Linked DNA regions of Drosophila melanogaster. The protein of the gene in region 4 purifies or fractionates together with the protein of the main gene of each other region. This does not show direct contact. Each region holds a gene or a part of one and is shown on either strand. Other genes may lie near its edges.

What was found.
Region 1: the proteins of SmD1 (region 4) and gw purify together in Drosophila melanogaster (affinity purification with western blotting, with the first as the bait; one study listed by BioGRID). This does not show direct contact.
Region 2: the proteins of SmD1 (region 4) and r2d2 purify together in Drosophila melanogaster (affinity purification with western blotting, with the first as the bait; one study listed by BioGRID). This does not show direct contact.
Region 3: the proteins of SmD1 (region 4) and bel purify together in Drosophila melanogaster (affinity purification with western blotting, with the first as the bait; one study listed by BioGRID). This does not show direct contact.

What each region holds. Positions count from the first base shown.
Region 1 is NC_004353.4:655,749-663,637, reverse strand, and holds the start of gw (gawky), read left to right. Parts: upstream 1-3,029; 5' UTR 3,030-3,209; intron 3,210-3,654; exon of another isoform or gene 3,655-4,078; intron 4,079-5,129; 5' UTR 5,130-5,300; coding exon 5,301-5,736; intron 5,737-5,953; coding exon 5,954-7,422; intron 7,423-7,889. Other genes in the region: CG46466 (uncharacterized protein), read left to right, coding at 1,665-2,483. UniProt on the Drosophila melanogaster protein: Required for gene silencing mediated by micro-RNAs (miRNAs). Silences both polyadenylated and deadenylated mRNAs. Required for miRNA-mediated translational repression and mRNA decay. Not required for miRNA target recognition.
Region 2 is NT_033779.5:7,797,318-7,804,609, forward strand, and holds r2d2 (r2d2), read left to right. Parts: upstream 1-2,829; 5' UTR 2,830-2,935; exon of another isoform or gene 2,936-3,028; 5' UTR 3,029-3,185; coding exon 3,186-3,330; intron 3,331-3,403; coding exon 3,404-4,194; 3' UTR 4,195-4,781; downstream 4,782-7,292. Other genes in the region: Herp (Homocysteine-induced endoplasmic reticulum protein), read right to left, coding at 1-9, 80-415, 846-1,306, 1,992-2,195; Cdc14 (cell division cycle 14), read right to left, coding at 5,170-6,259, 7,254-7,292.
Region 3 is NT_033777.3:8,654,552-8,665,597, forward strand, and holds bel (belle), read right to left. Parts: upstream 6,211-11,046; 5' UTR 5,457-6,210; coding exon 5,412-5,456; intron 3,837-5,411; coding exon 3,464-3,836; intron 3,293-3,463; coding exon 1,427-3,292; intron 1,356-1,426; coding exon 1,234-1,355; 3' UTR 424-1,233; downstream 1-423. Other genes in the region: p (pink), read right to left, coding at 6,535-8,430, 8,509-9,009, 9,092-9,175; CG8032 (uncharacterized protein), read left to right, coding at 9,932-10,198, 10,886-11,046. UniProt on the Drosophila melanogaster protein: ATP-dependent RNA helicase that is essential and required for cellular function, larval growth, and for male and female fertility.
Region 4 is NT_037436.4:12,730,906-12,737,222, forward strand, and holds SmD1 (small ribonucleoprotein particle protein SmD1), read right to left. Parts: upstream 3,707-6,317; 5' UTR 3,612-3,706; coding exon 3,598-3,611; intron 3,079-3,597; coding exon 2,718-3,078; 3' UTR 2,459-2,717; downstream 1-2,458. Other genes in the region: Ptp69D (protein tyrosine phosphatase 69D), read left to right, coding at 4,248-4,344, 5,153-5,255, 5,348-6,317. UniProt on the Drosophila melanogaster protein: Plays a role in pre-mRNA splicing as a core component of the spliceosomal U1, U2, U4 and U5 small nuclear ribonucleoproteins (snRNPs), the building blocks of the spliceosome.

The DNA.
Region 1 (7,889 bases), on a different chromosome or scaffold from region 4:
AGTGTGGCCAAACCTTTTGTTTTCATTTATATCATTTACGTATTCTTTTTGATAAAAATTGTAATCGATTCTCTTAAGTAATCGTTTAATAACTCGCAACGGAATGGAAACCGTTAACGGATTGAGAAATCATAGCAATTAAAATTATCCGCTCGTATAAACGCATATTTTCAGACTGTACCAATTTTCAATTCATATTGTTGAATATAAAGTTGAAGTTGATGTAATGAAATTGATAATATAATATAATATTTCAATGGCTTAGGCATTGATAACCACGAAAAGCGGAGGTGCCCCTTGACTAAAAAGAGTTGCTATAGAATGGTTTTTGTAACCACTATTGTTTGATACGCACCTGTCATTGAAGTTCTTGTCGTTTCGTATCAATTTTGTGCTATGTAAATGAAATGGAAATGGCCTTAGTGACTTAACTGTGTGAACACAATATAATAATTTATTTCCGATACTTTTATCTTGATCTATCGATGGATGCGTATTTCTTAAAGCATACACATATACAATTATATAGAGCTTAAATAGCCGGATCAATTCGTATTTAAGGTTGTATGATGGTTAAAACGGGAAATCGCAGTAATTTTTATTATTTAAATAGTAAATTTAAACTTCAGTAAAAATATCCTAAATAATGTGAAGTGTCAAGAGCCAGGTGGACATAGCCATATCCGTACGCCCGTTTCTCACTAAATCTTTCTAAAAGCCTTTCTGTTGCCGATACTATGCATACTACATGTATGGCAGAAAGACCTCGACAAAGGGGAACATACATACATATCTTCTTTTTTGTTAGAAAGTGTTTTATCTCGGTATTGAACAGTTTTCGACCATATGCCTTGGAAAAGTCAAATTTTTTCTGTTCGTGATCATAAATAGATATTATTCAGTATAAGCATATAAAAATCGGCTTGCCGATTTTTGTTTATTTCCTATATTATACCCATTACTTGTAAAGTAAAATCGTATATGTATTAGATTCGCTGCAATGTATGTAATTGGTAGAAGAAACCGTCTCCGATCATAGAAAGTATATGTATGTAATAGGAACGCATCGATCCCATTTTATACTCACATGTTTCCAAATGTTTACACGCTTGTTCTAACGACCACGAACCGCCCAAAAACTGCCAAAAACAATTTTAACCAAATACCTACAAATCGTTCAAAACTGTAACGCCCATATCAATTTAAACACACATAAACCCTATGTAGTATATACATACATATGTATGTGTCTAGATTAGAAAGAAACACCCATCCGAGTTGATACTTCCGTCTGCCCCTATGAATGTTGTAATGTCGGGAAGCACTCCTCTGGCTACCAAAAATTAGTAATGTAAATAAAGGAGAGGTGGGCTAATTTGATTCTAAGGTTATATATTTCTTTTTTATTGCATTTGTTTTCGGTTTGGACATCATATAGTGTCCAAATCCCGAAGTTCATTAACTAGTCTCGGAAACCTTTTTGTTCACCTGTTATGTTCTTTTTTAATTTTTAATAACCCCCTTACTTTACGAGTGAAGAGTATAAAAGAATTATAAATACTTTTTCAAGAATTCAGGTTAATATAATTATTCGATTTTATGATAGAATCTAACGTTCCGCTAACCATTTAATACAGCAAACCATATTTATTTTCAGATCAAAAATGACAACACACGATGAGGCTCAGTCATACTTCTCACGTCTTAATTCAATTTCCGAAAAAATTACCTGCGATCTCAATAAAGTTAAATCTACATACAACCAAGACGCTTGGCTTAAATTGACTTTAAACGAACAGGAAAAAATATTGAATAACCAATTAATAGATCCTGTTATATTTTCTAAGTACTGTCATAAGACTAAAGAAAACTATGCGGCACAGGATCCGTACGAAAATACTGAAGTTAGTAAAAATGATTACCGTAAATTTTGTTTCAGAGACATTGTATATTTATATAACGGCCAAGATTTACACACATATAATTATCAAAACGTTGGTTTAAAAATATTACGCGATGAAAACACCGGAGATTTTCAAGATGAACATTCGTTTCCATTTTCTTATCGAACCAAATCACAAATTAACATAGTATTAAAAGAATTTGATGATATCTGTCTTGTTGAAACTCCATTAGGCGTAAAAAAGGCCATTCATTTAAAATTGAAGACAAAAGATTCAACCAATAAAAAAATACCAATTCTCCACCTTAATTCTAATGATAAAACCGGCGTTAACACAACGGAAAGAAAGATTTCCATTCATGAAAACTTCTCAAAAACCCAAACTGTTTATATTGATGAATGTATTGAATCTAATGAGAAAATGCAACTGCTCGTTAAATGTGGATCGAAAAACAGTGTGTTAAACGACTTGTCTGATTATGAAAACGAATTTAAAGATGCACGTCAAGACGAAAATACAAAACTGTTATCCCCTGAACTAAAAATGCCTAAGGGTTTCGATTTTCTTAGCAATTGGTAAAACCTATTTAAATCTCATAGATAGTCGAAGGAGAGCCGATATTTTAGAACATAATTTCATTTGATTTCAAGGCAAAACACCAAAACATACACATTAATATTAATCGGTCGTAAGTCCAAACTTTATACATTACATTATTAAGGATTCTTTTTTAACATAGACTTAATAAAATAAGTTATGAATTTAATGGATTGCCCAAACCTGTTTCAATTCTCACTTCAATAAGGCATTCAAGCTTTAAAATTTATTAATGCATATGTTATCTCACTGTATTGTTTTAATCCCTTAAATTTCATTTGAATTGTTAGAAATGGTCGAGAGTTATATGAGTTGGAACTTGTTTGAAACAGCTCTGTTTTGAATTAATTTAAATTATATCAGCTAATTTATTTTAATCAATTAATCCTTCTGTTGTGTACCCTCTATCTGACCTCTTCGATGTGAACGGGTCACAGCACTTATTTTAGGCAGTTGTGTAAACTGGGTATTACCTAAGATTGATTAATATCGATTAGTTTAAGAAAATATCGGACATCTACCTAGAAGAGTCTGTCGTGATCCAGGCGAAGTGCGAGTGAGAGCATCGTATAGTTACTTTTTATTTAAATTGCGTGTGTTAAAATGAATTAGCACGAGTAGTGAATGTTTTTGTGTGCGTAATCTTTCGAAAACAAGCGCTTTGTCATTAAAACGAAAAGATTGCCAACAGCCCACCACGGATAGAATGTACGGAGTAATGCAGCTAAATTGAAGTAGAATAATTTTAATGTATGGTTGAAGACGTACTCAGTACGATTAAAAGCGAAACTTTCTGACATAACCTAAGTGTGCATAACCTAAATGGTCGCAAAAACCCAAGCGTTTAGTTTCGGACATACGCATGTGTGTATCAGTGCAGAATAAATTCTGTTCGCTTGTGTATCGTGCATTGGAAAAGTCTATATGTACATATGTTCCAGTCAAGAGTTGCCACGCTTTAAATCTTTTACATAATGACAAAGCAATAGGGAATTTAAATGTGTCGCATTTGCTTTGAGGTTTTCCACACCAACAGTTAAAATTTAGTAATAGTGTAATTAAAAATAAAGTAAGCATTTTGCATATTTGCATTAGTCTATACTCCACATACCTTTCCATTCCGTCTTTAAATTTTGACTAGGTGGCAATATTGCAAGCAGGAATATCTGTATGGGTTTATTTAATACACTAGTAACTGCCGTCCCCATCGTCGAACGTGCGCAGAAATTTATATTCAATTACATCGAATTATAATTATTGTTGAGTCTAATCAGTTTTCGCATTCAAGATTGTTATTAATCCCAGTTTATTTTGTGAAATATGAAAAACTATAATTGATTGTCGAATGTGTGTATGTTTTACAACACATACACACTTTGTGAACTCGTCAAAGTGGCTTGACATGCATACACACAAAAATGCACATATATTTACATATATAGAGAAAATCAACTTCTCGTTCAGTAAAGGCAAAAATTGTTGCAAATATTCGGTGAACTATTAGCGTATACACAAGTGTTCAATTTTACTATAAACGCATATTCTGGCAATAGATATTAATTTCTAATTTCTGTTTGGTAGGTTTTAGTTAGATCTCCATTTTGTGACGTTCTCAGCTTTTCGCTTGTATTTCTACACATAGGGTACAAGACACGCGAATATACTAAGTATTGTACAATGACTTCTCTACATATGCACTAGAGTACTGAAAATGTATTCATACAAATGTATATACATGTATATATCTATCGCATTAGTCTTTTTGCCAATACTTGCATATATACAGGTTGTGTAAATACATTTTAAATTCTAAGTTTATTTGAGCATAATTGCAAGTGCGAAATTAGGAAAGGGAGACATAAAATAGGGTGCTTCCGTCAATGTCTGCCTGCCCAGAGTTGACAAATTCATTTTACTTGTGTACATATGCATATGTATATTTATATACCATTACAGAGTTGTGAATTTAATTGTTTTATTTTTTGACATGCATTCGTTTTTCACACAGGAATTTGTCGTTAATGTGGGTGGGGATTCTGCCGGTTGGGCAGCAGACCTGGTAGGTCAGCGATCGCGATGCATATTTCATTTTTAAAATTCTTTATGTACATACTAAGTATACATGTTTAACTCCTGTCAAATGACTCCCACTCTTATATACCCATATGTATGTCCTCAGACTTTTTGAATCGATTATAAAGCTTAAATTTTTATGATTTCTCCTTCAGAATTTTAACTGATGTTATGCAGTTAAAAATCTGTAAAGAAGATATTGATTAAGCCTACGAAAAGCTGATCAGAATTAAAAAATTTTTTAAGAACAACGAACAATAGAAAAACTAAAAACAAACGTGCACAACGTAGGGGTCACTAGAATCTGCATGCTTATTCTCAACTGTCTAGCTTTTATGTCGAAAACGCTTCCGCTATGTAACATACTTTAGAACAAATCTGGTATACCATATACCATTTTACTCTATTAATAATGTGTATAAAGCATAAACGTATCACGGTGATTAAGTTTATTTATCCTGTGTATATACAAGAAAATAAAAAAAGAACTTAGCAATTTGATTTAGAATGAATATTTTGTAATAAAAATAATAAATGTTTTCTATATTTCTACAGAACACGGAAAGAACAAGGATTCAGATTAAGTCATTCCTTTTCGATTAAATTAAATAACTTTTAAAAATTGCCATAAATGCTTATGATAATGAAGTTAAAGATCAAGTGGATGTTGGAATAGTAAGGAATGCTACTTTTGAAGCTGACAATCAGTTAGAACACTTGAGCACTATGCGTGAAGCCCTTTTTTCCCAAGATGGCTGGGGCTGTCAGCATGTTAACCAGGATACTAATTGGGAAGTTCCCAGTTCGCCAGAACCAGCCAATAAGGATGCACCCGGTCCACCAATGTGGAAGCCAAGCATTAACAATGGTACTGATCTTTGGGAGTCCAATTTGAGAAACGGAGGTCAGCCGGCCGCACAGCAAGTTCCAAAGCCGTCGTGGGGTCATACACCATCCTCTAACTTAGGTGGAACATGGGGTGAGGACGACGATGGCGCCGATAGTAGTAGTGTGTGGACTGGAGGAGCTGTTAGCAACGCGGGATCCGGAGCTGCAGTGGGAGTAAACCAAGCCGGAGTTAATGTCGGTCCAGGCGGTGTTGTTTCGTCTGGCGGACCTCAGTGGGGACAAGGTGTCGTTGGCGTCGGACTTGGATCAACTGGTAGGCCTAATATCTATTAGAATTAATGAAGTTAAGCGCAAACGATCAGATAAAGGCTCTAGCTTTTCCCTCAAAATGTGACTAACAATACATGATAAAAACATAAAGTGTAGTAATTGAAGTTGGAGCCTTATCTGGGGAATTACCTATTCTAAGTTCTACAGAAACTTTTATTTCATTAACCCGAAATACTTTTATATTTCTGCTGTTATTTAAGGAGGTAACGGGTCAAGCAATATAACTGGATCGTCTGGAGTCGCAACAGGTAGTAGCGGAAACTCCAGCAACGCTGGTAACGGTTGGGGAGACCCTCGTGAAATACGCCCTTTGGGAGTTGGTGGCTCCATGGATATTCGAAATGTTGAACATCGCGGCGGTAACGGTTCTGGAGCAACTTCGAGCGATCCACGAGACATTCGCATGATCGATCCGCGTGACCCTATTCGAGGAGATCCCCGTGGAATATCTGGTCGTCTTAATGGGACCTCTGAAATGTGGGGTCATCATCCACAAATGTCCCATAACCAGTTGCAAGGTATCAACAAAATGGTTGGTCAAAGTGTAGCAACTGCCAGCACCAGTGTCGGAACATCTGGCTCGGGCATCGGTCCTGGAGGTCCCGGTCCTAGTACAGTATCAGGCAATATCCCAACACAGTGGGGGCCTGCTCAACCGGTAAGCGTTGGTGTAAGTGGTCCCAAAGACATGTCAAAACAGATAAGTGGATGGGAGGAACCATCACCACCGCCTCAGCGTCGCAGTATTCCTAACTACGATGATGGTACATCGTTGTGGGGTCAGCAAACTCGTGTTCCCGCTGCAAGCGGTCACTGGAAAGACATGACTGATTCGATAGGTCGTAGTAGTCATCTCATGCGTGGCCAAAGCCAAACGGGAGGTATAGGAATAGCCGGCGTTGGAAATAGCAATGTTCCAGTGGGAGCCAATCCAAGTAATCCTATAAGCAGTGTAGTTGGACCTCAAGCCCGGATTCCATCTGTGGGCGGCGTACAACACAAACCAGACGGCGGCGCTATGTGGGTGCATTCCGGCAATGTAGGTGGCAGAAATAATGTTGCTGCTGTTACTACTTGGGGAGATGACACTCATAGCGTTAATGTCGGCGCTCCCAGCAGTGGCAGTGTATCCAGCAACAATTGGGTTGATGACAAGTCCAACTCAACCTTGGCACAAAACTCTTGGAGCGACCCGGCCCCTGTTGGAGTTAGTTGGGGCAATAAGCAAAGCAAACCGCCAAGCAATAGTGCTTCATCAGGTTGGAGCACTGCTGCGGGCGTGGTGGATGGGGTTGATCTAGGATCTGAGTGGAACACGCACGGGGGGATTATTGGAAAATCTCAGCAACAACAAAAACTAGCGGGACTTAACGTGGGAATGGTGAACGTAATTAACGCGGAGATCATTAAGCAAAGCAAGCAATACAGGATCCTTGTCGAGAACGGCTTTAAAAAGGAAGATGTAGAGCGGGCATTAGTGATTGCTAATATGAACATCGAAGAGGCAGCCGATATGCTCCGTGCCAACTCATCCCTATCAATGGATGGTTGGCGTCGACATGATGAGTCCCTTGGATCTTATGCCGACCACAATAGTTCAACAAGCAGCGGTGGATTTGCTGGTCGTTACCCGGTCAACAGTGGACAACCTTCAATGTCCTTTCCTCATGTAAGTATCGTGGAACTAAGCATAATGAAGGTTTTTCGCCTAATGATAACAATATCTTAAAATAAATATATGTAATCACTAAATTATGTATTAAAAGCGCGACCTCGTACTCATGGGCACACAAATTCTTAATTAGCGACGGTCCCTTCCAACAGGTGGCACATTTGGCAGTAATTTTAATAGAAAGTTCTATGTACTCAACTATAATATGAAAGTTTGTTTAAAATATTTTGTGAATCAATCTACTGAATGCTTTTTTGTTTGTTTGTTTGTTGCGACATTTGCGCGAATTGGTATGTTGGTTTTATCGTAGGTTACCGTAGTTTGGTATTCGTCTCGTTTGACTCTTGGACATTTTAAGACAATATAATATAACCGTGAAGATTTAGAAAGTGCGGGTCCTAGCAACGCTTACGAGCGTGGTTCATGCTGTAAGCATAGCATTTGTAATTCATTTACATTTGTTA
Region 2 (7,292 bases), on a different chromosome or scaffold from region 4:
ATGTGATATCTAACAAACAATTATAATTTCAATATATGTGTAAACTTTTCAATTCGAATCAAAGAGGAAATGTACTTACAGATAAATCGCACCCGCGATGAGCACCACCAGTAAACAACGCAGCGCTGAGGAGTTAAAGTACAGGACAGTCACAAAAATGGCCAATCGCGTAAAGCTAAAGAAACTATCCAGCCAGTCGTGCATTTCCGGTTCCTCCTGAATGTTGGGAAAATTTCTGTTCTGCGGCGCTCCATTAATCTGAGGATCAGCAGGTACCTGTGCCGCTGGGGCAGCAGCTGCTCCTGCCACTTGTTGTACCTCCCCGAAGTTTCGCCCAGCAATCAGTGGGACTGAGGGCAACAGGGGTTGAGTCGGTGGCGGCAAGCCAGATTGGTTCGAACCGGGCAACGTAGAACTGTGGGTATAATATAAGATTGTTGTGTAAGAATCATAGCATTCAATATTATAGAAAATAATTGTTCGTTTACATGCAAAACTTAATTGCGCACAATAAATTCTTCGGGAGCGACCCCAAAATTATATTATTTAACTGTAATCGTGGCCATACAAGTATACTACAATTTTAGCACGCCTGATAACCAAAATAATAAAAAGATTATAAATAATCAAGAAACAACTTTAAAAATGCTAAAACAGCATTTTGATCTCACTTGAATAATAAAGTACCTCTTAAGAGTGACTAAATACAAGTGTTTCTCCTTCTGAGAAAAATAAAATGTATTCGCTATCGAGCTCTGTGTAATTTGATTCGCTCGCTTCTGATATCAGTGAATTAATTGTTGGATCAAGTGTGTTCCTTTAGCCTTCTGGTTCTGTTCACTTACCGTAGAGTCAACTGCTGCATGTACTGCGCGTAAGCCTGCTGCATCCAGGCGTTGTAGATGAGCGCCTGCTGCTGGAACAAAGCATGGGGACTGGCACTGGCATTGGCAGCAGGTGCTGCTCCCTGGCTCTGCTGCCAGAAGTGTGTCCAGGGATTGGCCAAACCGATGTCACCCGTCACGTGTGGTCCAGCGTTGCCCTGCTGTGCCTGCTGCTGATGTGGAGCATGACGTTGTCGCAGCTCATTTGCATTCCCAGTGACCTCGGGCCCAGCTGGAACCGCATCCTTCTGCGGAACAGTGGGGGCTTTGGCAGCCGGCCTTATCACTTGCTTGCTGGCACACACCAAGTGAAATATGTGGTGCTGTTGGTAGACATCCTTGTAGCTGCGTATCACCTCAGATATCTTTTGGGAGTCATCTAATAGCTTGCCCGAGTAAATAAGTTTCTGGTCCTGGATTAACTACAGAAAAAATGGAAAGAAATAGTTATAGTGGTCAAAACATAAAACATAAAATTTCACATTATAGGTATTCAGAGGGAACCTAGAGATAACTCATTGTTGCTTTTACCTCCGCGCGAAATTTATACTATCAAACAGTGCCTAAATCTATTTATTTGCACACTCCAAGAGATAACAACTTGTACTTGTCAGTTGACTTTATGGAAATGATACTTGAAACTAAATAAATTTTTATAAATTCTACTTGATTTGCTCTGGAAATAAAGAGTGCTAATGTATTTTTTCTGCCTGCAATGATCTGAATCTTTAGTATATATCAGTGATATTGATATGTGGGATGTACATATGTACATAAAAAACTTGGCACATGAGTGGAGCGTGAATATGTCCAAAAATCTTATCACTTTCTAACCGTAACCAAATTAATCCCAGTTCCCAGTTCCGACCCATCGATTTGGCATAGACCAAGTGCATGACGCAAGTGCATGACGGCGACTATAATTTAGAGGAGCAATCCACTGACGTGTACTTGCGACTAAGACGCAAATAGCTTTGGGAACCGACACACCTATGAATCCTAAACGAAGATGATAAACAATAACAAACTTCTCGATAAGATAATGGGGCTCCTGGCCAGTTTTCTACCTATACGATAACAAGGGGGGGAACCAACTCGATAACCCACCGGTTTGCCAGGATAGATAAGAGATAGGTGCTTCTTCAGCCTCTGGACCGTCCAGCAGAGATCGGAGTCCACATTGAGATCCTCATACTGCTGGTTGGACGACTTGATGAGCAGCCGGACACTGGTTTCCGGATTCTTTTGACGGGTGGCGGCATCGCAGCCCGCGGCTGTTGCGGCTGCGGGTGGGGCGGCGTTCTCCTCCATCTGGCTGACCCCGCGAATCGGAGAACTTTCTATTGCTAATTAATGACCGCGATACGAAGATCGGTGATGGGTTTTTGCTGCGCTAGCGGGGACACTTTTTACGCAGCCACTGTTTCTCACTTCCTACTCCGCTCTGCTCTCTGCGTATTTTCGAGAAATAGTTTATTCTGAATTTGACATTTAATTTGGTATTATGCTATTGTTTGGTTTTCAACAGCTGTTCGTTCTGTGGTGTTTTGCTCGCAGCACAGAGTTATTGATTATGAAACGCAGTAAACGTTCCGCAGTTGATCAAAAACTACTCTTCATTTGGTTCTGACCTGTGGCAAGTGATGAGCGTCGGTCACAGGGCTGCCGCGAGTAGCAGGTATTTTTAAGTCGCAGGTTGCACAAACAGCTGAGAATTGATTTTCCAAAGTGTGTGGGATGTGGCAATTTAAGTACACAGTTGGAAAATATTAAAGTCGTTGCTCAAACACTTGGTTTTAGTGTTTTTAGAATTTATTCCTTTGAAAAATATACGGTATCTAGTTATTTGCAGTTGTGGATTTTGCTCATCACTGACAGCAACACTTGTTAATGCCATATACTACGCAACAGGGTTGCCTTGACTTACGGGGATGCCAACTCGCGTCATCGTGACGTGTCGATTATGTATAACACTTCAGACGTTGAACTTTGAATGAAAACACCGAATAGCATATAAAATGCATTTGCTCCTTAGTAAAAAAGTTAAGAAGGTTTGCCGCTGTTTTCGTATTCGAATTACGAATTCAATACTATTTCGTGAAAATATTTTTTTGACAAAGCGGCATAAAATAATTCATTTACAGATGTCTTCGTCAAGATTTCCTATTCTATCGTTGCCGCTTCGTGATTCGCGTGCCATCTCTAATAACATTGCAGTGCTTTAGATATTTTATAAATTATATATATGGTTATATTCTGTTGAATGTTAGCACGTCCGACGTGCCTTTTCCCCTTGAACTCATGGATAACAAGTCAGCCGTATCTGCTCTACAGGAGTTTTGTGCCCGGACACAGATTAATCTACCAACATACAGTTTTATTCCCGGCGAAGACGGAGGGTACGTCTGTAAAGTTGAACTATTGGAGATAGAGGCCCTTGGAAATGGTAAATTTAAATTACAAATCTCAACCACTATTTATATTCGTATCTAAACCGCCACATATTTATCCAATTCTAGGGCGTTCGAAGCGTGATGCCAAACACCTGGCTGCCAGCAATATCTTGCGTAAAATCCAACTGCTGCCCGGCATACACGGCTTGATGAAGGATTCGACTGTGGGTGATCTGGATGAGGAACTGACTAACCTCAACCGGGACATGGTGAAGGAGCTGCGTGACTACTGCGTCCGCCGCGAGATGCCACTGCCCTGCATTGAGGTAGTGCAGCAAAGCGGCACCCCGAGCGCCCCGGAATTCGTGGCCTGTTGCTCCGTGGCCTCCATAGTACGCTACGGAAAGTCGGACAAAAAGAAGGATGCCCGTCAGCGAGCGGCCATTGAAATGCTGGCCTTAATCTCCAGCAATTCGGACAATTTGCGTCCGGATCAAATGCAAGTAGCGAGCACAAGCAAATTGAAAGTTGTTGATATGGAAGAATCTATGGAGGAATTGGAGGCATTGCGCAGAAAGAAATTTACCACCTACTGGGAGTTGAAGGAAGCCGGGAGCGTAGACCATACAGGCATGCGGCTCTGCGACCGACACAACTACTTCAAGAACTTCTATCCTACCCTGAAAAAGGAGGCCATTGAGGCCATCAATTCAGATGAATACGAGAGCTCCAAGGATAAGGCTATGGACGTAATGAGCTCTTTAAAGATAACACCCAAAATCAGTGAAGTGGAATCTTCATCGTTGGTTCCCTTGCTTAGCGTCGAGCTTAATTGTGCATTCGACGTGGTCCTTATGGCAAAGGAGACCGATATCTACGACCATATAATAGACTATTTTCGCACCATGTTGATTTAATGCGTATAACATTTATTCAACTATTCTAGCTTAAAACTAAGTAAACTCGTTTTATTTACACTCTAGAATGCACATATTTCATTTAATCTTACGATTAATACAATCTCCACCAATTTGTAGGTGGGAAACATAAAAAAATTATTTTCAAGGTCTTTTAGTAAACATCTATGTTAACTTTGTACACGATTGAGATAGGTGTAAAAAATCCAAGGAAATAAGTAAGGGGAGTGGGTACAACAACTTTTACTTTCGAGAAGGTATAACATAATGATATTATTAATTACTTTTCGATGCCAATACCAATGTTAATTCTATTAAAATGTAAAGTATTTATACGGTCCGAACTTATTGTTTGCAACAACTGATTATAAAATATTTGAAGCAATTTACATAAATATGTATTGCACAGTGAAATTAAAAATCTGAACATTTGCCTTTAAAAGGAATGCTAGTAATCAAAGACTTACTTGAAACAAATATTTTAAATAATTTGACGGAAAAAAATGGTAAAAATGCTGCATTTCTTTTTTTTTTTACAAGTACAACTTTTATACGAATAAAAGGGGTTTCAGTCTAAAATAAATAAAGTGCTTCGTAGTCTTCAGCATTTTTGATTTTATTTTTACAACACAATGCTAAAATGAAAACTAAGCGTTCCTCTTAAAAACTTTCAACAATGTATTAACAATTTCAATGTCAATTGCTTGCCTTTTAATGGGTTATCTTATATTAGTACAATATGTTAAATAACAAATCCATAACAATTTGAAATGTTTTCCTAAAAAAAAATGTAAGTGTATAAATGAGATTGTTATTGCAAATAATTTCCTAATCAATCACCAAATTTGATTGCATTGGAATATCTAAAAAATCATTGCATTCGCCACATCAATCTCATCATCTCATCGGGAAACGTTCAATTTACTAGTCAAAATAATATTTACACAACTAAAGGAAACAATATATGATTAGTGTTCAATAGCTAATCTTCTTGCGCAGCTTGAGATTGGATTGTTGATGGTCCAGAGACTGTTGTTGTTGTTGTTGCTGTCGCTCCCGATCCCGATCCTTTTCGCTGGACGCACGACTCACACCGCGTACCAGGTGCTGTTGCCACTGGCTGGAGGAGGGCGGCGCCGTGGGTGTGGGAATACCCGAATTTGAGGCGGACGTCGATGCTGAGGAGCCGGACTCACCGAAAAGGCGCCGGGAAAGCTTGAAGCTGCCGCTGTTGCTGCTGCTGCAGCTGTTGTACTTGCAATTGTTGTTCATGCTGCTGGTGGTGGAGGCGTTTGTGGCGTGGGTGGCGTTGATCGATGTGCTGTTGGCTACAGCTGATGCTGCTGTGGCCGCTGCAGCAGCTGCCGCCGCCGTCTTCCTCAACAGCTTTGTGTTGTACTCGTCGCTCTTGTCCTTGTCCAGGCGTGTGGAGCTCAGCGATCGCTTGTTTCGCTTGGCGGAACCAGCCACCAGGCCGTGCTCGATGATCGCCTGCAATTCGGCACTGCCGCGCCCACTAAGCCGGCTTGTGTCTGCAGGATTGGAGGAGGGAGGAGGAGTGGTAGTTGGATTATTGTTGAGGCTGGTTAATTTTGTTGTTTTCGGCAGCGGATTGGAGTTGAGATCGAGCGTGGCGGATGCGGAGCGTGTGGCTATGTTAAAGGAGGCTGAAGTGGACGACGACCCACCAGGACCACCACCAAAAACACCGATTGTGGGTATAGCCGATACGTCCCGGTAATACCGAGCCGTGGCCACCGTGCACGGTTGCGTTTGGGCAGCAGCCGGAGCCGTTTCTCCGGCATTGGGACGCTGGTATCGGATCCGAGATCTCCCCCGTAGCGTCATGTGGTGATGGGAGGTACGCGCAGCACTGCCCCGTGTGGGCGGAATGGTGGCCGAGCTGCCGGCACCACCACCGCCACCGGACACCACGGGTATCTTGCTCTCGTTAATGGTGGCATATTGGCGAAGCAGTTGCTTCTCCACCGGCAGCAACGGTTGCTCCTGCTGTACCTGCTGCTGCTGCTGCTGTTCCGCCTTTCGCAGATGCTTCAGCTCCATTCTGAAGGAGCATGGAGCAGGAAGCGAAGAAAGATTGGGGCGAAAAAGGACGAGAGAAGAGAGAGAGAGAGAGAAATGGTGTACGGGGTTACGGGCTCAGTGTGGTTCCCAAAACAGTCTTACTACAAAAATCATGGCAGAGCTCCGGAGTCCGAAGATTTCCACATCCTTGCAGAGCAAAGTCAATCGAAACATTATTGTTTATCATTTATAATTTTTTGAACTTAGCGGTATACAAAAAACCCAATATTTGATAAAAACATTCTCTGCAAGGATCTATCTTAAGTATTTCACTAAAATAAACAAATAAAAGCAACAAAAACAAGGCCAAACAAATACAAAACAATTTCGCAAGCTTGTAGCATAATTTCGAAAATTTGTGGTTTATTATTAATTATTTTGCGCAACAATAAATGTTTCGCAATTTCAGCATGCACAAAAACAAAAATGCCAGTACATAACAGAATAAACTAAATACACTAAAATTAGCAGCTAAGATAAGATAAACAAATATCGAACTTGGGTTAGTGTCGTTTGGTGTGGGAAACGCCATTTAGGTTAATTTTGCGAATATTGCATTAGAGGGGTATTAAGAATATTACAAATACAAGGTCGAACTTTTAAAACACATATTAATCTTGGTTTACCACCAATTGAATTTATAGACAAAATCGTTGAACTGAGTATTTTTAGCGTTTTCGAAAATATTGTTGGGTAAAACATTGTTAAAATGTGAAAAAAATCCGACGGTCTGCATACCTTATAACTAATAATATTTACAATCGATAAAGGATTGGTCTACGGGATAAGAAAGTGTTTTTTTTTCGGGGGCAACGAAAGTATAAATTAAGTATAAATTGCGATAAAAAACAGAGCCGCACACGTAACGAAATCAAATCCAATGCAAGTCGAACATATAACATATAATACTTCGTCGTGGAGTTTTCGAGTTCAATGGTCATTTTTGGGATTCGGAGGCATTATTCGTTACTTACCTTTTGCTATAGAGCGCCAGGCTGCGGGTGCGACTGCTC
Region 3 (11,046 bases), on a different chromosome or scaffold from region 4:
CAAAGCTCTCATCTGAGAAGCTCCTAAAGGTTACTAACCTATCCTATGGATATTCCACTCCTTAATTATTTTGATAATATGGCCAGCAGCTCGTCGCGGTTGAAAATCCAATGATCTCTTACATCGAAACGTATTGGTTCGAAAAGCGTACTGAACTAAAACCAAAGAACAGGCAACTTGCCAATTCTTATCAATGGAGCTAACTCAAAAAGTGATATCAGTAAGTAAATAAATCTTAATTGAACATATTTATGAAAAGATAATAGGGCGCCAAGGAATTAGTAAACGTTGGTGCTTTACAGCGTTATCGGACACGATCTGCCAATCCCAAAAAAATCACCTGTTACACCAAATGCAGAAAAAATTAAAAACAACCATGCGAGTTCTTTTTCTCATTTGCTAAATTATTAAGCTTTAGTTTAGCAAACTTGTTTTTTTTTTGTTTTAATTACTTGTTTGTGTTGGTTTCTTGTTTCATATAGTACATTCTATCTCGATCTATATATTTAATAATATATATACCATTACTATTTTTATGTTTTCTTCGTTTAAAATCATCAATTGAAGTTCAAGGATTTGCGCTTTCATCGTTTCGATCCGACATTGACAATATTTATGTCTAGATATATATATATATATATATAAGAATACATATATATATATATATATATATGTATATTAAGAGTTCCAAGAAAAATGATGTGTGAGAATTGTAACTTATGGACAAAAATTCAAAAATTTTATCATTTGCTTAAATATTCTTAATATTTGTGGTTGTTTAGCATATTTTAAATATGTATGTGTTTGCTTGCATATCCTTCAACTACGCGCATCGAATTCATAAAATATAATGATGGGTGAGATGGAAATGGAGGGCGGCTTGGGCTGGCTATACATGAATGTAATATACTTTCGCGATGGACTTGCACAGTTTATTATTAACGCTTGCTCCTGGTTTTTGAGGTTGTGAGAGAGGAGTGAATTGCTAAACGAGGGTGGGGTGGAGGGTGCATCTGTGTATCTTTTCTGTATTTTCGTGATTTGTGTTGCGCTGCGCACAGACAGTTTCTCTTTCACATTTGCTGTTCCTATATAGTATACGTGTGTACACATATATAGTTGTTATCGACTTTGTTTTACTCCGTTTGGTTATTTGCGAAAGTGGCTACGATGCGACTGCTGATGCTGCTGCTGCTGCTGGCCCAGGTCCTTTGCCTGAAGCTGAGGCCTTGCTCATTGAGCCCACCAGTCGGGTGCGTTCGAAGAGTGCGAGGCACTGCCGCCGCCGTAGGAGCCGCCATAGGAGCCACCACCGGCGCCGCCGCCATAGTATCCACCGCCGCCCGAATTGCCGCCTGTAAAGGAAATCCACTGTTAAGTTTCTGCCTTTAAACTGATTACTGCTGATGGATGATTCCACACTCACCAAACTTACCGTACGAGTTTCCATTGCTGCGGTAACTGCCGCCGCCGCCTCCTGATCCGGAACCACCGCTACGTGGTGGCGGTCCACTGCGTCCGCCACCGCCGCCGCCAGAGCTTTGACGGTAATCCCTGGAGCCGAAGCCGCCACCATAACGTCCACCACCGCCTCGTCCAGCCCGCTTGGCTCCGCCATGTCCGCGATCCGAACTCATATCCTCCATGAAACTGGGGATCTCCTGCTTCGTTTCGATCAGCAGCTCCAAGAGATCGGAGCAAATGTTGCGGTTCTTTTCGTTGAAAAAGGAGGTGGCCACACCAAGATTACCCATACGTCCGGTACGCCCGATACGGTGGACATACTCCTCCACATCCGAGGGCAGGTCAAAGTTAATAACGTGCTTAACGTGCGGAATGTCCAGGCCACGAGCGGCCACGGCTGTGGCCACCAGGATGGGGCAGTCGCCCGATCGGAAGCAGCGCAGTGCCTCCTCGCGCTCCTTCTGCGTGCGATCACCGTGGATGCTAGTGACGGGATGATTGCACTGGTACAGGAACTCCTCCAGCGAGTCTGCACCCTTCTTAGTCTCCACAAAGATCAGTGTTAGGCTGTCTTTGGTGTATTCGGGGCCATCGCGGATAGACGAGAGCAGATCCAGCAGATACGAGCGCTTGTCGGGTTCATAGACCCACAGGATTGTCTGCGTAATGTTCTCAGATGTGGAGCCCACACGACCAACGGCCAAGAAAATGTAGTTGCTGAGGAAATCGCTGGCTAACTCCTGGATCTGCTTGGGGAATGTGGCCGAGAACATAAGCGTCTGGCGCTGTCCGGTTGGCGGCATGTTTAGCTGTTCGACGATGCGACGGATCTGCGGCTCGAAACCCATGTCCAACATACGATCAGCCTCATCCAGTACAAGGAATCGAATGTTCTCCAGTCCCACCTTTCCGCGTGTGATCATGTCCTCTAGGCGACCGGGTGTGGCCACAATCAGATGGCAACCGCGGTCCAGCTCGCGCATCTGCTCGCTAGTATTGTTTCCGCCGTACAGCACTGCCGGGCGCATCCGGGAGCGATAGGCGAACTTCTTGGCCTCCTCAAAGATCTGGGTGGCCAGTTCGCGGGTCGGCGCCAGCACCAGACCCAACGGATACTGCTTGCGCCGGCTGTACTGCCGGGTGCTTTGCGGCGGGGGCACATGTCCCAGCTCGTACATCTGGTTGAGAATCGGCACCAGGAAGGCGGCCGTCTTGCCGGATCCAGTCTGGGCGCAGGCCATTAGATCCCGGCCATTGATAATGATCGGAATGGCGTGCTTCTGCACCGGTGTCGGTTTGTCATAACGTGCTAAGGCCACGTTGTTGCGGATAATCTCCGTCAGCTGCACATCATCGAACGATGTGATGTTCGGGGGCACATTCTGGCCCGTCGCCTCCACGGGTATATCCTCGTATTTGTCAAAATTGATTCCCGTATTGCCCACGCCGAACAGCTCCACCTCCAGGCGCTCATCTCGGGCGCCCAGCTTTGTGTAGTCGACGTTTGAGCCGCCGCCCTCCTTCCAGCGGCTGTTGTAACCGCCGCCTCCGCGCTCGCCGCGATTGTTGTAGCTTCTGTTGCCGCCGGCAGACTGTCCGCCCTCGCTGCCATCGAATCCGGCAGGACGTTCTGGCTCCTGCCAACGATCGTTGCGCGGCTGCTGCTGCTGCTGTGCCTGGCCATCCTCGGCAGTCTGCTCGTTGAGGTTGCTACCGCTTCCGCCGCCACCGCCGCGGTACGATGGTCCGCGTCCAAATCCTCGACCTCCTCCGCCGCCTCCGCCGCTGCGATTCCAGTCACCGCCGCGACGCGAATCGAATTCACCACCTGCAAAAGTAATTACATTTTCTCTAATAATATGGGCATATTAGAGGACCAAGTATAAGTCGTACGCATTACGATTTTAAGGATCATTACATTATGGAGCTGTAAAAATTAATTAAATGTCCTTGTGCTTCTTGATAGTGAATAGACCACCTGTTAGCCAATAGTACCCACCGTTGTAGTTGTCCTCGAAACGTCCACCGCCTCCACGTCGTCCTCCGCCGCCGCTTCCGTAACCGTAGTCGCCGCTCTGGCGATTGAAGCCGCGACCACCACCGCCGCCGCCTCTGCGGTATTCGCCTCCGCCTCCGCGCGACTGTTGAGGGTCCCTAGTCTCCTGGCGCGGATTCCCGGATCTGGAGTCGAAGCCCTGACCCTGGCCCTGTCCTTGGCCCTGGCTCTCTGCGTCCGCTGCGTTGTTATTGCCACCACCACCACGAAGGTGCGGGGGCACATACACACCACCGGTGACCGAGTTAGTGGAAGTCTTGCTGGTTATGGGGCCGCTGTAGTCAGCAGAGCCGCCATTCAAGTCCAGACCAGCAACCTGCAAGTGATAAAGATTAAATGGTTAGTCTTCTTCAGAACTTGTGCAAAAAATGTGGCATCAAATGTGGTTTCCTAACACTTAAATTATAGGTTTTGTTCTATTTTTTTTGTACTTAATCATTGGTTTAAGATTACTTTTCTTTGTTATATACCAAGTTTACGGGAACACAGTGCATTTAATGATAAGATCTATACCAGCAATGCAAAACTAAGCTACACAAATAATCTTTGCTCCACTAATACAATTGATTTATAGTACACATGGCCAATTAACATATGTTGCCTGTAAGTTAGCCGGCACCAGTTCAAGAATCAAGTTCAACAGTTTGGCAAAAGATTCGCCGGGGAAATTTTCTCCAGAACTGCCAAAATGAATTCGTTCCCGCTTAGCAACATGTGCTATTTACCGCTCTTCCTCTTAGCAACGCAACGTGTATATATACATAGATACATATGTATGTACGTGCAAATCTCCGGAATACACAGATAGAGAGAGGCGCAACTAGTTTAAAGCTTCGAATTTAGTGCTCTCCCTGTAAGCGTCTCTCTCGCACTCGCAGGCAAGCTATTACACAAAGAGAGTCCGCCTGGTAACCCAACAAAAACAACACGTGAACGAGCCACCCACACATGGGAAAACAAATCGCACCGTAGGGGCAAAACACAAAGCCCGGTTGCGGGACCCAAGTGGACAGAATGGTGATGAAAGCAAGGGAACTCTTTCAAGAACTAGTTTAAATGTATACAATGATTATTATTCCCGTATATCTTGTAATATTCAATATTTTGCCTTCTTCATTTATATTAATTAACAAAGGCAGCTAAATATGTAATTCGCAGATTTTGTGGGGCGTCACTTAACGGCTAGATCGTTGCTAGATTCATTGCGTGCATTTGAGGCATACAGAAATAGTAGTATTTAACTAAACTATTTCCATTTGAAAGCATTAACGTTTGTTTATTTCACATCTCTAATAAAGTTTAATTCTTTTTAAGGACCTAACAAAGGCTTGTTAAAATAGTGTATGTAGATTACATGCTTTGCTTTTCTTCCATTTTTTTTTGCCAAATCACCCTTGAAATTAATCACCAGATCGCTTACTCCTGGCAACCCTATTTACAACAGCTTCCACATGTGTGAGCAAGCGAGAGAGAGCGAGATATAACACACACACACGACCAGCCTTAGAACAGCGGCACTGCTCGCACACACGACACACTCAACGTGAGAGGCCGAATGGAAACTTTCATATGTATATATTATACATGTCAAATTGGAGGCAAGCGAGCAAAAATTATACAAAAGAAATTACAAATTGGAATGACGAAGAGGGACCCAGGCGCACACACACACGCACATATATGCAAGCCATTGACACCGACACAATTCACCGTTGTAAAACGAGCGATAGAGACATTAGTGTGTTATGAAATCAATAAATTTCTAGGCGAACTTTTTCAAATAGCCGCATGAGCATCACGAACACACACACACAGCCACCGCATACACATGCGTGTTCCATTCTTATATAGATGGTAAATGGTATTTTCAGCAGTTAAAAACGCTACTTACTTGCTGCTCTAGACCTGTGCCATTTTGGTTAATAGCATTACTCATATTATCCTCCAATCAGTTGCTTTTTTTTTCTTGCTTTCCGTTTAGGAAAATTTTGCAATGGTTACGCTTTGAATTTTTTTTTTTGAATGCACACTTGCAATTTGCGACAAAAAAATGTATACGATCGTTGTGTTGGTGTTGCACTTTGTGTCTATACGTTTTTCCTTAGTTTTTCCGACAAAAAACTTCTTACGTTCCACAAGCTACTGCGTTCTCGTGTGAAATTTCAGGGTTCTTTTCGTTCCTCGCACACAATTCCCTTTGTTCGGCTTGAAACTGAGACGTTTCCGTATCGGATTTGGCTGGCCTGCTTGTGCCAACAATTACAATTACAAGCGCTATGGGCTTGGAAAATGCTGCTTCTCCGACGAGTTCACGTTTTTTTCCGCTTTCAGACGCGTGTCTAAAAAATCAGGGCTGCTTTAGCACGTATATCGATGAGGAATCGATAGATGCGGTCGGTGGAGGTAGAGCAGAGACTCCAACCTGGGCTCTCGGCGGCGGTTACTGGCAAAGACTCCGGCAAGGGCGTTGCCAGATCTATATCCTCGTCTCGCGGTCTATGAAATTCAAATTGAATTTTTTCACTTTTGCTTTTTCGGCGCGTCGATCCCTTCTAGGCTGTTGTTGTTTTTTGAATGGAAGAGAAATGAGGCTGGGCAGTTAAATTTTGTTTCTTAAAGGCCAAAAATGTTTGTGTTTATGTTTAGGAATAGTTGTTTATAAGGCGTCAGCCGCTGTACCCCATTTCGTTATTTGAAGCAAAAGTCAAAGAAATTCAAATTAAATTTGAAATTTAGTATATATATGTGATTGCCGTAAAATAGGTATTAAAAATTTCCAAACAATTCCATACTCAAGTTCCCTCCAAGTCTGTTAAAGAAAACTAAAATTCGAAGTTTCGAACTCTGGAATATATTCATTCACTTTCGTCTTCAGAATATACATATTGTGAATGTACATGTTTATATAGAATAAATGCTTTTGGTATTGGCCTTAGCTTGAGATTAGTTAGTGGAACAATAAATATGGCTATAAAGTATCGTATATATGTATATAATAATAATTTTCATATCGTTCAGCCCTTGAGCAGGCAGCGGGAGTAGAACTCCCGGTCGATAGCGTCGTTTGGAATGTATGAGCTCCACTTGAAGATCAGCGCCAGCGTGTCCCCGGCGGACATGTGATCCAGAGCGATGTTGAGGAAACAGTTCCAGTTGTAGAAGAAGTGGCGTCCCAACTGTTCCTGTTCCACGCCAGATATGCACTCGCAGTTGGCGCACACCAGTCGTCCGCCGCGTTGCAGTTCCACGAACTGTTCGAAGCAGCGGCCCCATGCGCTCACGCTCAGTTGTTTGCCCACGTCAGCCAGAAGTTCGGGGAGTCCGTAGTTGAGGACGATGGCCACCACTTTGGTGAGATTCTGTTCGGCTAGGTAAAATTTAGCTAAGACGTCTAATAGTGCCGGCACTGATTGAACAACATCAAAGCACTTCAGTTGCTCGCCACGGGACCAGAAGTATCGCAGGAGCACTGCTCCAAGCTCATGATACTGGCAGGAGGTATCGAAGCGAAGGGGGAACGAGCAATGCTCACACTTGACAATCTCCGCATTTTGCGAAGTATTTAGCAGCACAAATCCGGCAGCTATGTGATCCCGCGTAGCGTCGTCCACTTCCCAGATCATCTCCGGATCCAGGTAATCGAAATACATCTCGTAGCAATTGCGTTGCGCTTGGTCAGGCGTATCCCCATGCTCTACCATCACCTGGGCTAGTTTCTCGAGCAGATTCACCAGCTCGCCAGCTGCATACTCGTCGAAGACAGCGCGATAACGATCGACGCACTGCGTCCGGCTAAACTTGGCGCTCTTGGCGATCAGGTAGAGGTTGTAAAGAGTCTTCTCCTCGGGACTGATGTGGGGAACCTGGGGAGCCGGTTTCTTACAGCGCCTAACAATTTCCTCCTCCTGATCCTCGCTTCCCGACTCGTAGCGTGCTTTGATGTCCTTGAACGGCAGAGAACGCTCGCTGGCTGGAATTAGTTCCCTGACCAACTGCTGCTGTTCCTCGGCAAAAATATTGAACTTGTATTTTATGATGTTCTTGCCGAATTTACCAGTTACCGTCAGCAGCGCATCCTTGAAGTGTCCCGTTTTGAGAGGCTGCTTCAAGTTGTCGCAGAATGCGTTTTCCAGCACGTACACTCCCTTCGGCGGAGCTCTCGATGAACTTCCGCCGCTCAAACTGCGTTCAGTGGTGGCTGAACTGCCTCCCGAGCTGTGCGTATCCAAAGCACTGCCTGTGCACTGAGTTATGGCATCAAATATCACGGATATATCGTTCAACAGCTCGTACTCCTGCCGCTCGATGAGTAGTTGTTTCAGCGGATTGAGCTGTTTAAGTTCGTAATCCTCGCGAGCCTTGTCCGCAAAATATCGGACATGCTGGCGTAGTAGATTTGCGCAAGGCAGCAATTTGGATTGTTGTATAAGAGAAACTGCGTGGGATTGCAGCGTCTGCAGCTGGACACTATAAAGTGCGCCAGACTGCGTAAACACAAAGATCTCCGATCCCGAGGAGCGGCAGTCGGCGATTCTCTCGAACTGATTGGACCACAGCACCACCGCCGATCGTCGAATATCAAATATATATAGTCCCAGCTCTGTAAAGGCCAGCAGAAAGTCATCGTTCAACCTTTGTACCTTTGCGAACTGCAGATTCTGCGGCTGATAGTCCAGCAGCTCGGCATTGGCGTCCAGTTCGTCTGTTCCGCTACCAGGTCGCTGAATCCTTGCCGGTGCGGTGGCTAGGGCCGTCTTGAACTGGTGCGTCTGTATCACCTCGCCCTCAAAGTCCACCTCCCACACGCGACTGCCTGGTCGGGCGCAGTAGATACGAGATGGCTGCAAAGACTCCTGCGGCGAGACGAAAAAGCAGGCGCCAAAGGCTCCATCCCGCGGACGGTTACCAATCTGAAAAATATGACATGAGGTAAAAGTTTATCGATTGTATGTGATCAGATTGGCTTAGCCACCAGCGCACAAACGCACTTGTTTGTAATCCTCGTACTCAGTGTTGCACAGAATGCACTTGGTGCAATTGGACACCAGCAGCAGGTACTCAAAATCATCAATTTGGACGATCGGAGAGTCCAGGTAGAGCAGCGGATGCACTGTCATGTTGAACAGCAGACTGTGTCCGATGAACGAGGAGAGCAGCACGAGGCTGACTTGTCCGCGAGAGTCGCCATAGTAGAACTGCTTCTCGTCCTGCGTCCAGTGGATGCATGTAACCTGCACCGACTGGTCCAGGTGCGTAAAGATCACCTGCGGCGTGGCCTGCGCGGACAAATTCACGGCATAAACACAGATGAGCGAACGTTGCGTTGCAAAAGCCACATATTTGCTATTTGCCGATATGCTGAGGCTGGTGATCGCTCCATGCTTGTTTGGTATCAAGAGCAGAAACTTGCCGTTCCGATTGAACAGATACAGCGATCCGGATGAGGCACCGAAAATGATATAGCTGTCGGAGATGTCGAAGCAGGTGTACTGAAGGGAGGAAGGGCGTGCATTAGTGAATGGTCTGCTATCAAATTGCGGGTGAGACTCAATTGGATTGACTTGCTCTCACCTTGATGCGATTGTGGTGTTTCAGCGGCAGCGACAGCGACAGCGAAAAATCAATAAAGTTCGTCAGGCAGTAGGCGTCGGCCATCTTGTGGGCTTTTTCGTTGTCCGAAGCGTTCGTTAATCACATAGCTCGCTTTGAAATCGCGATTACGTTATTGCATTGCACATCGCATGCATTTATTTACAAAAATTATGTTTTTATCAGCGCGACGAGTAATTCGTGTACATAGGTCGTTGGAACTGTCTGGCAGCTCTGTTAGTGCTGGCAGGTGGTCGATAACAAGTGGAGTGTGATTAGAGCGATTACTTTTTATTTCAAATACTTTGTAATAAACTTGTTAGTGTCTTAATTAAAACAATTCAAATCTTCAATTTGAAATGTATATTAAAATCAAAAGTTTCATGAAATCACAGACGTTAAAGTATCGATACATTTAGTGCTGTAAAATGACAGCTGGCTTGTTTACCCTTATAAGCTTCAAGTCTGGCAATACTGCGACCAGCAGCTGTCGTAAAACTTATCCTTCAAACTTTCAATTAAAATACGTTTTTCTGAAAAAATCGCTTATCAAACTCCCATACATAAAAATAAAACTATTATTACACAATGTTTACTAAAAAAAATTGGATATTTACCACCCAGCCGAACAGCTGTTCGCTGCTACCTCCCCCAACCCATAAACCTACTGTCAAGTAAACGTCAAAACAGTCGCGCGACTCGCCAAGCGAAAAAACCTGCAGAAAAATTGAAATGCGGCGTGAAAGATACTAGAAAAATAACAAATAAACACCGGGTATCCGCAATTAAAACGCTTATGTACATAGAAGCCAAAGTGTAGCAATGGGCGACAAGGAGGAGCCCGTAACACCCGCTCCCTCGCCCACGGAGGAGGGTATGGCCAATATTGGGTCTGCTGGAGCCGGGGATCAGCCGCAAACTTCAGGGAATAATACCAACGTTAAGATCGTGATCATTGGAGCTGGAATGGCTGGCCTATCGGCTGCAAATCACCTTTTGCAAAACGGCTGTGACGATTTCCTTATTCTGGAGGCACGGGGCCGGGTGGGCGGACGCATTGTGTCCATACCGCTCAGCAATAATCAGAAGGTACCATTTGTTATATAACCCCCTCAAGTCCAAAAACCAAAACAAACCATCATAGGCGACCATATGGTATTAAAGGAAAAACACTTCCGACTCGGAAAAACCACGAGCATGTTGTAACACATTCTTCGCCCCAGCCAGTTGATTATAGATTTTTCCACGGACTGCGCAGTCGGTCAGCTGTTCACGCTTTTCATTAAAGCTATTTTTATACATGTTCCTGTTCCCTCTATTTGCCTATTGTTAGCTTTATTTGTTACATATGCTTACATGGGGGTAATTAATGTAATTGCATCTGTCGTGAATCTTACTCACGATTTTCATTCCGTTCATTAGCATAGTTTTGATCGGTTTGGCGGCACCTTATCAAGAAATTTGTTATACAACTTTCTTCGGCAACGTTTGTCAGATTAGATAGGGGTTTTCTGAATTAAGCCAATGATGACGTATCTAGTGCAATGCCCTGAAAAACTCACGGGTTTGCGGGCTAACGATCACGTAGTCTTAGTTATGGGACTGAAAAATTTATTATTTTTCCAGTTTTCCACATTGTTTCACTTCACATGTACTAATTACGCCCCTAAATTATCTAATATAGGTCAGTTCTTATCTTTTTTATACTAGAAAGTTAAATGTTAAGCTTTGCCTACTTATCTGAGATGTTCCTATTTAAACACTTCTATTTCACAGATAGAACTTGGCGCCAACTGGATACACGGCGTTCTGGGCAATCCCATCTTTGAGCTGGCCGTACAACATGGTCTAGTCAGCGTGGTCAACGTACCGAAACCGCACAAGGTGGTGGCCACCACGGAGGACGGGCACCAGGTGCCTTTTAACATACTTCAGGA
Region 4 (6,317 bases):
GGTTCCTTCTGGAGGAACATGTTTTGCTCATCAATGAATTGGCGCTGAACCTGTTTGCCCTGCCTCATTTAGTCTAAGGACCTCGACTTTTCGCCATACGAAAAAGACAAGGAGGCGATACAAACTTTCACATGCGAATACACAGGCACTAAATTGCGAATCGGCATTGTTTCATCCCGAAGCATCATTACTTAACTGCATAGTTAAATGTGAGTCGTCCCAAGTCCATTACCTTTGTCGATAAATTTTACATCGCACTAATTTGATGCTGTGATTTATGACACTTCAGCAAAGGATTCTAAAGTTTTGGATTACAAAAGTTGCTTTTGTTAAAAATCAGAAATACACAACTCATGCCCATATTTTTCTTTTATCAGAAAGTCTTTGAGCAAATCAGCTGCAAATATTTTATTTATATACAAGTCGAGACAATCGATTGCACAGAATTTGAAAATCTTCAAAGTTGTTTGAGGATAACAAAATCGAACTTCCGCATTCATTGACGCTTTTAAAAACGTTGAGCTTTTTTGATCCGAAATTATTTGGGCAGGTGTTCCAACCACGGCTATTGCTGTTCTCAATTTTCGCTTATCAATTACTGTGTATAATTTCGACTTAAAGTTAGTTCCTTGGATTGTCGCAAACTTTTTTCCACCGTATGTCGCAAATTAGTAAGTATATTCAAGTATTTTCAAGTTTTCTCTACTAATGAAGTTTGGCTTAAAACAATCTTTTCGGGAAGGTATCCCAAATATTTCAATGCCCTAAATATAGTCTATATAAACATAAATTCTTTTTATTTAAATACGACCCATTAATAATTCTGGTTCTGATATTATTATTTTGTTAATATTCGTCTTGCCAGAAATACAAATTTATATATTTTGTATACATTATTTGTTTTTAAGGTCTAATTGCAAAGAAGATTATTAATTATACCATGTTTGATTTTGAATTTTATTCCTTGATAATCCGTTGAATTCCGAATGTTGACAGGATTTCTAAAAAAGCGTTATTAAGCAAATTAAAAATTATTATGTCCAAGTACCTTTGCTTCTTTTTATTTTTACAAACCCTTTTTCATTAAGCATTAGCAATACATAAACATAACAAAACATAAGTAAAATACATAAAATGTATTTAAACGTAATTTAAATGTATTTAATCGCCCGAAGATACTTTCAAATAATTTCCCCTTATTTTTTTAACCCTTATTTGTGCAGGGTGTAAACTTACAGCCGAGTACTTTCAACCCTTTTTCGAGGGTGACTGAATATCTGCTAATGGATTTAATTAGATTATCGTGATTTCATGACTTACTACATCCATCATACAAACTCGATATCCTTTCATCACAAACATTTTGCATTTCTGCTTGAATGCAAATCGAATGTAGCTGTATTATTGTTGAATAAATGGTAACAAATAGAGAAATCAAAATGGTAAAACCGAAGCACTAAGCTCAAAAGGAATGGCTAAAGTTAATATATTGATATCAAATAAACGGTTGCAGAAAAAGATACAGAAAAGGTAATTGAGTCAGATTGAATGCAAACAAAGCAATTATATAGGCACTAAGGTAACCGAAAATATAACATTGTGGAAAAAAATTTTAATTTTTAAATATTTACCTGTGTCATAGTTGTATGTTATCCCTCAAATGATGTTCATCAAAAGCATAAATTACGATAAGTTACGACTTTTAACAATCCTAACACTGCAGAGATCCAATAACCGTCAAGTGTATATATATATGTATATATATGGTGCACGATTATTAAACAAACAAACTTAGTATGCAAAGCAAAGCAACAACAGCTGCAGCCAAAATCACATTCTCAATTAAACCATAAACGAACAAATATATACAAATTCCCGGCTCTGACCAGACTTCAAAGGAAAGCAATAGAGCTGTGAAGCTTGAGCAATTGTGAACTTGAGTTAAAAATATAAAATAAAAAATTGTGTTATCAAAAGACATTCCTAATTTAAATTTTAAGATTTAAAATTGGCGCCTTACTTTTAGCGGGTATCCGAACCCGAATAGCGATAATTGATCGGAGCAAGTTCCACAATTTGACATTTCGATATATTATCGGAACCGGTTCAACCTGCCTTTGAAAACTTAAACAAATCACTTATATTTTTTTGTCCTTAATAATGGGTTTTAAAGTGAGGGTTACTCCATTATCCCTATATCTATTGTTTCTTTTGATATGTTTTCCAATCCGTTACTTAAAGTAGAATCTCTTAAGTTAACCAGTTTTAAGGCGATGCCCATTTCATGGGTTTAACATTGTCGTTTGTTTCATTGTTCACCACGCATCCTAATGGCAGTAGTAAATATATTTGAATCTATAGCCTAGCTTAAGTAACACAGTTTTCTCCTACTATTGTTGAACATTTGAAAGACATTTTGTGCGTCCAAAAACAATTAAAAGTATAAAAAAGCGTTTTTACAAACTTTCAAACATTTTTAATCATAATTTAATGGCGGGAGTCTTCTTTCAATTTGTTGCCAAGTAAACACATTTTTCCTGAGCTACTACACAGAGTGATTTTTAACAATATACATATTCAGATGGAGTTTCTTTACTAGCTGAAGACATTTGTCAGTTGTTCGTACATAGTAAATGCATACAGTGTGGATTTATCCAAAGAATATTTATATTCTATATTTATCGAATATTGTTTATTAGATGTAGCTGTTACAAAGATTAACGTCGGCCTGAAGCTCGGCCCCTTCCGCGACCCCGTGGACCACCTCGTCCGCGGGCGCCTCTGCCCCTGCCGCGATTTCCCACGCGGCCGCTGTCCTTCTTTTTTGTCTTCGACTTCGGGGTGTCGTCGATGAGGAGCGTCTCCAGCGGCAGGCTGTCCGGCAGTATAAAGTATCTGATGTTGTTGCCGCGAATGCTCAGCGTCTCCAGGTGGACGGGATCCCGGTTCTTGATCGTCATCCGAACGCTCTTCAGGTGAGTGTTCATGGCCACATCCACGCCGGTAATGGTGCCGTGGATCTGGGTGCCGTTCTTCAGTTCGATGGTCACGGTCTCGTGACTTAGCTTCATAAGGAATCTGTAATGCATCAACGGGAAGATTAGTAAACGAAATTAAGGAAATCCCTGTTGCAAAGATGCAGCATTTCAGAGATGCAAGGCTATTATAGGTAGAAACAAATATCTTATTGGGTGATTGAAAAATGAGATACAATAAGGTGTATGCAAGCAGCCTTTATGATGAAATATACTTAGTAGAGCCTTTACTTTTAGCAAATTAGTACGAATTTAAAGGTAGCTTGTATTTGGTGGCCTTGGATTAAGAGCGTTGATTGCATTGAATATAGTTATGCAAAATGCTACTTAAAGTGCAAGAATTGTTACCAGATACAAGTAAATAATGGAAAACTATTATAATAACAGATCAAAACAACATTCGTATTAAATTAAATTTTGTGTACAAAAACAACAAATGGGAGCATCGCTTTTGCATGCATACATGTGTGCAGAATCGCAGAACTCAAAAACTGAATGAAACTATACTGCACGCATTGCTAACAAGTTTAGTTTTAGTTTAGGTAAATGACGCATAACATACCTTACTAATTTCATGTTTTTATGTGTTTTTGGTGGTTTTCTGCAAAAAAAAACGCGCACAAACAATGCCGGCTAGTTTACTTGGAATTTGGTGGTTGCGGTGAACTGTTGTATCGTGTGCTAAGATAGCAACGCTCATTGGTATTGTAAAATATATCGGCTACCAAACGGAATCGTAATAAAAGTGAATATGAAGTAATAAATGAATTAATGCATTCCAGAAATAAATTATAAATTTGCAACAATTAAGTAACAATTAATGTCATACTGCTCTATAAATAAATACTTGTGTCTTATTAATTACTCATGTTAATAAATACGATTACGATTATATTATTATAATATACGATTATATTCCAATTCAGTTGTTCCAAATCCCTTGGTAACCGCAGCCAAGGGTACATATTCGACTGACTTATCGATAACGCCGCATATCGCGAAAAAAAAACAATCCAGTGTTAAGAAAATAACGATTAATACTTATTCGCGGTCGCCGTCTATTAACTGGTTTTTAATAAAACACATTTGTCGGTGTTTTGCACTCGCCGCGACATTAGTTCAACGCAGTAGAGCTTTTTAACTCAACGCAGACATCGAATATAATTTTTGACATATGTATTTATCCGGCTCGGAGTGAGAAATTAGCAAGCCATGGCGTTACTCTACCGACGCATGTCGATGCTATTAAATATAATTCTTGCATATATTTTCCTTTGTGCGATATGTGTGCAAGGATCTGTGAAACAAGGTAATGTTTCAAAAACTCAGACGAACATCATAATTGGTACATACATACGTACATCAAGAACCGTTTGTGGGTGTCAACAAATTGCAATGTCTCATTTTTTTTTTGTGTTGTTTTTGCAAATGTGAATGGAGTGTTTTACATTAAGTTGGAAACTGGAATTATCATTTGATATGGTGGTTAACAAGACGGTTGTATAGTTCTTAGATACAGTAGCACTCGAACTATGTCGGTAACGCCCAAAGATTACGGCGATGGGGTGAGATTTCAATTGGGGCTAAACAAAAGTAGTCGCGCATACATATGTACACACTTCCCGGTACATACATACGTTTTATGTTTCTGCGTACATACTTATGTACATCTATCTGATTTATCTGAAATATAATCACATATATATATATTTGTAATATTTCTTCAGCTAAATACGTGTTGATTCCGAAATTACGCCGGATTACTACCGCGAGTTTTATGGCCAATATTGTGGGTGTAGTTTCATTTTTATGTCTGGCTTTTACCGCCCATCCAGAAAAACCTTTCTTGGTGTCCATCATAAAACTTAAAATTTAATAGGAAAGTTAAATAAGAAATTTTCCTTCAATATAGTTCTAATTTGAATATTTTACTAAATCGCATAAAACCCGGAAGCTATAATCAGATTTAAATATACACAACCATTAATCAGGAAGATATATTTTAAGTCTAACATATTTTTAGGCTGACAGAAGCATGTTGCTACTAGATCGGTGTAATTTCTATAATTACGTCTATATACAAAACTGATAATTATTTTAATGAAATTTATTTACAGAGTGGGCAGAAATAGGTAAAAACGTATCTCTAGAGTGCGCATCTGAAAACGAAGCAGTAGCATGGAAGCTGGGCAACCAAACTATTAATAAAAACCATACAAGGTTAGTAACTTATTGCACAAGCATCTAAAAATATTTCTGCCCCCATAAAGATGGAATAACATAATAATCTGATCATTTTTCGATCTTTTCAGATATAAAATAAGAACTGAGCCATTGAAATCCAACGACGATGGCAGTGAAAACAACGATAGTCAAGACTTCATCAAGTATAAGAATGTCCTGGCGCTTCTCGATGTCAATATAAAGGACTCGGGGAACTACACATGCACAGCCCAAACGGGGCAAAACCATTCGACTGAATTCCAAGTTAGGCCATACCTTCCATCCAAAGTCCTGCAAAGTACCCCCGATAGGATTAAGAGAAAAATCAAGCAGGATGTCATGTTGTACTGTTTGATCGAGATGTACCCACAAAATGAGACAACTAATAGAAACCTCAAGTGGCTTAAGGACGGCAGCCAGTTTGAATTCCTGGACACCTTCTCGTCCATTTCGAAGCTAAACGATACGCACTTAAACTTCACCCTGGAATTCACAGAAGTTTACAAGAAAGAGAATGGCACCTACAAGTGCACCGTCTTCGATGACACCGGACTCGAAATTACCTCCAAAGAGATTACCCTTTTCGTAATGGAAGTGCCACAAGTTAGCATTGATTTCGCCAAGGCAGTTGGTGCTAATAAAATATACCTAAATTGGACCGTTAACGACGGCAACGATCCAATTCAGAAGTTCTTCATCACTCTGCAGGAGGCTGGAACACCGACTTTTACTTATCATAAGGACTTTATTAACGGCAGCCATACATCGTATATTCTGGACCATTTCAAGCCGAACACAACCTATTTTTTAAGAATCGTGGGAAAGAACTCGATTGGCAATGGCCAACCCACCCAGTATCCCCAGGGAATCACCACGCTTAGTTATGATCCCATATTTATACCAAAAGTCGAGACCACCGGCAGCACGGCGTCCACGATAACGATTGGCTGGAATCCACCGCCGCCAGATCTCATTGATTATATACAATACTACGAACTGATTGTCTCCGAATCGGGCGAGGTGCCCAAAGTGATCGAAGAGGCCATTTACCAGCAGAAT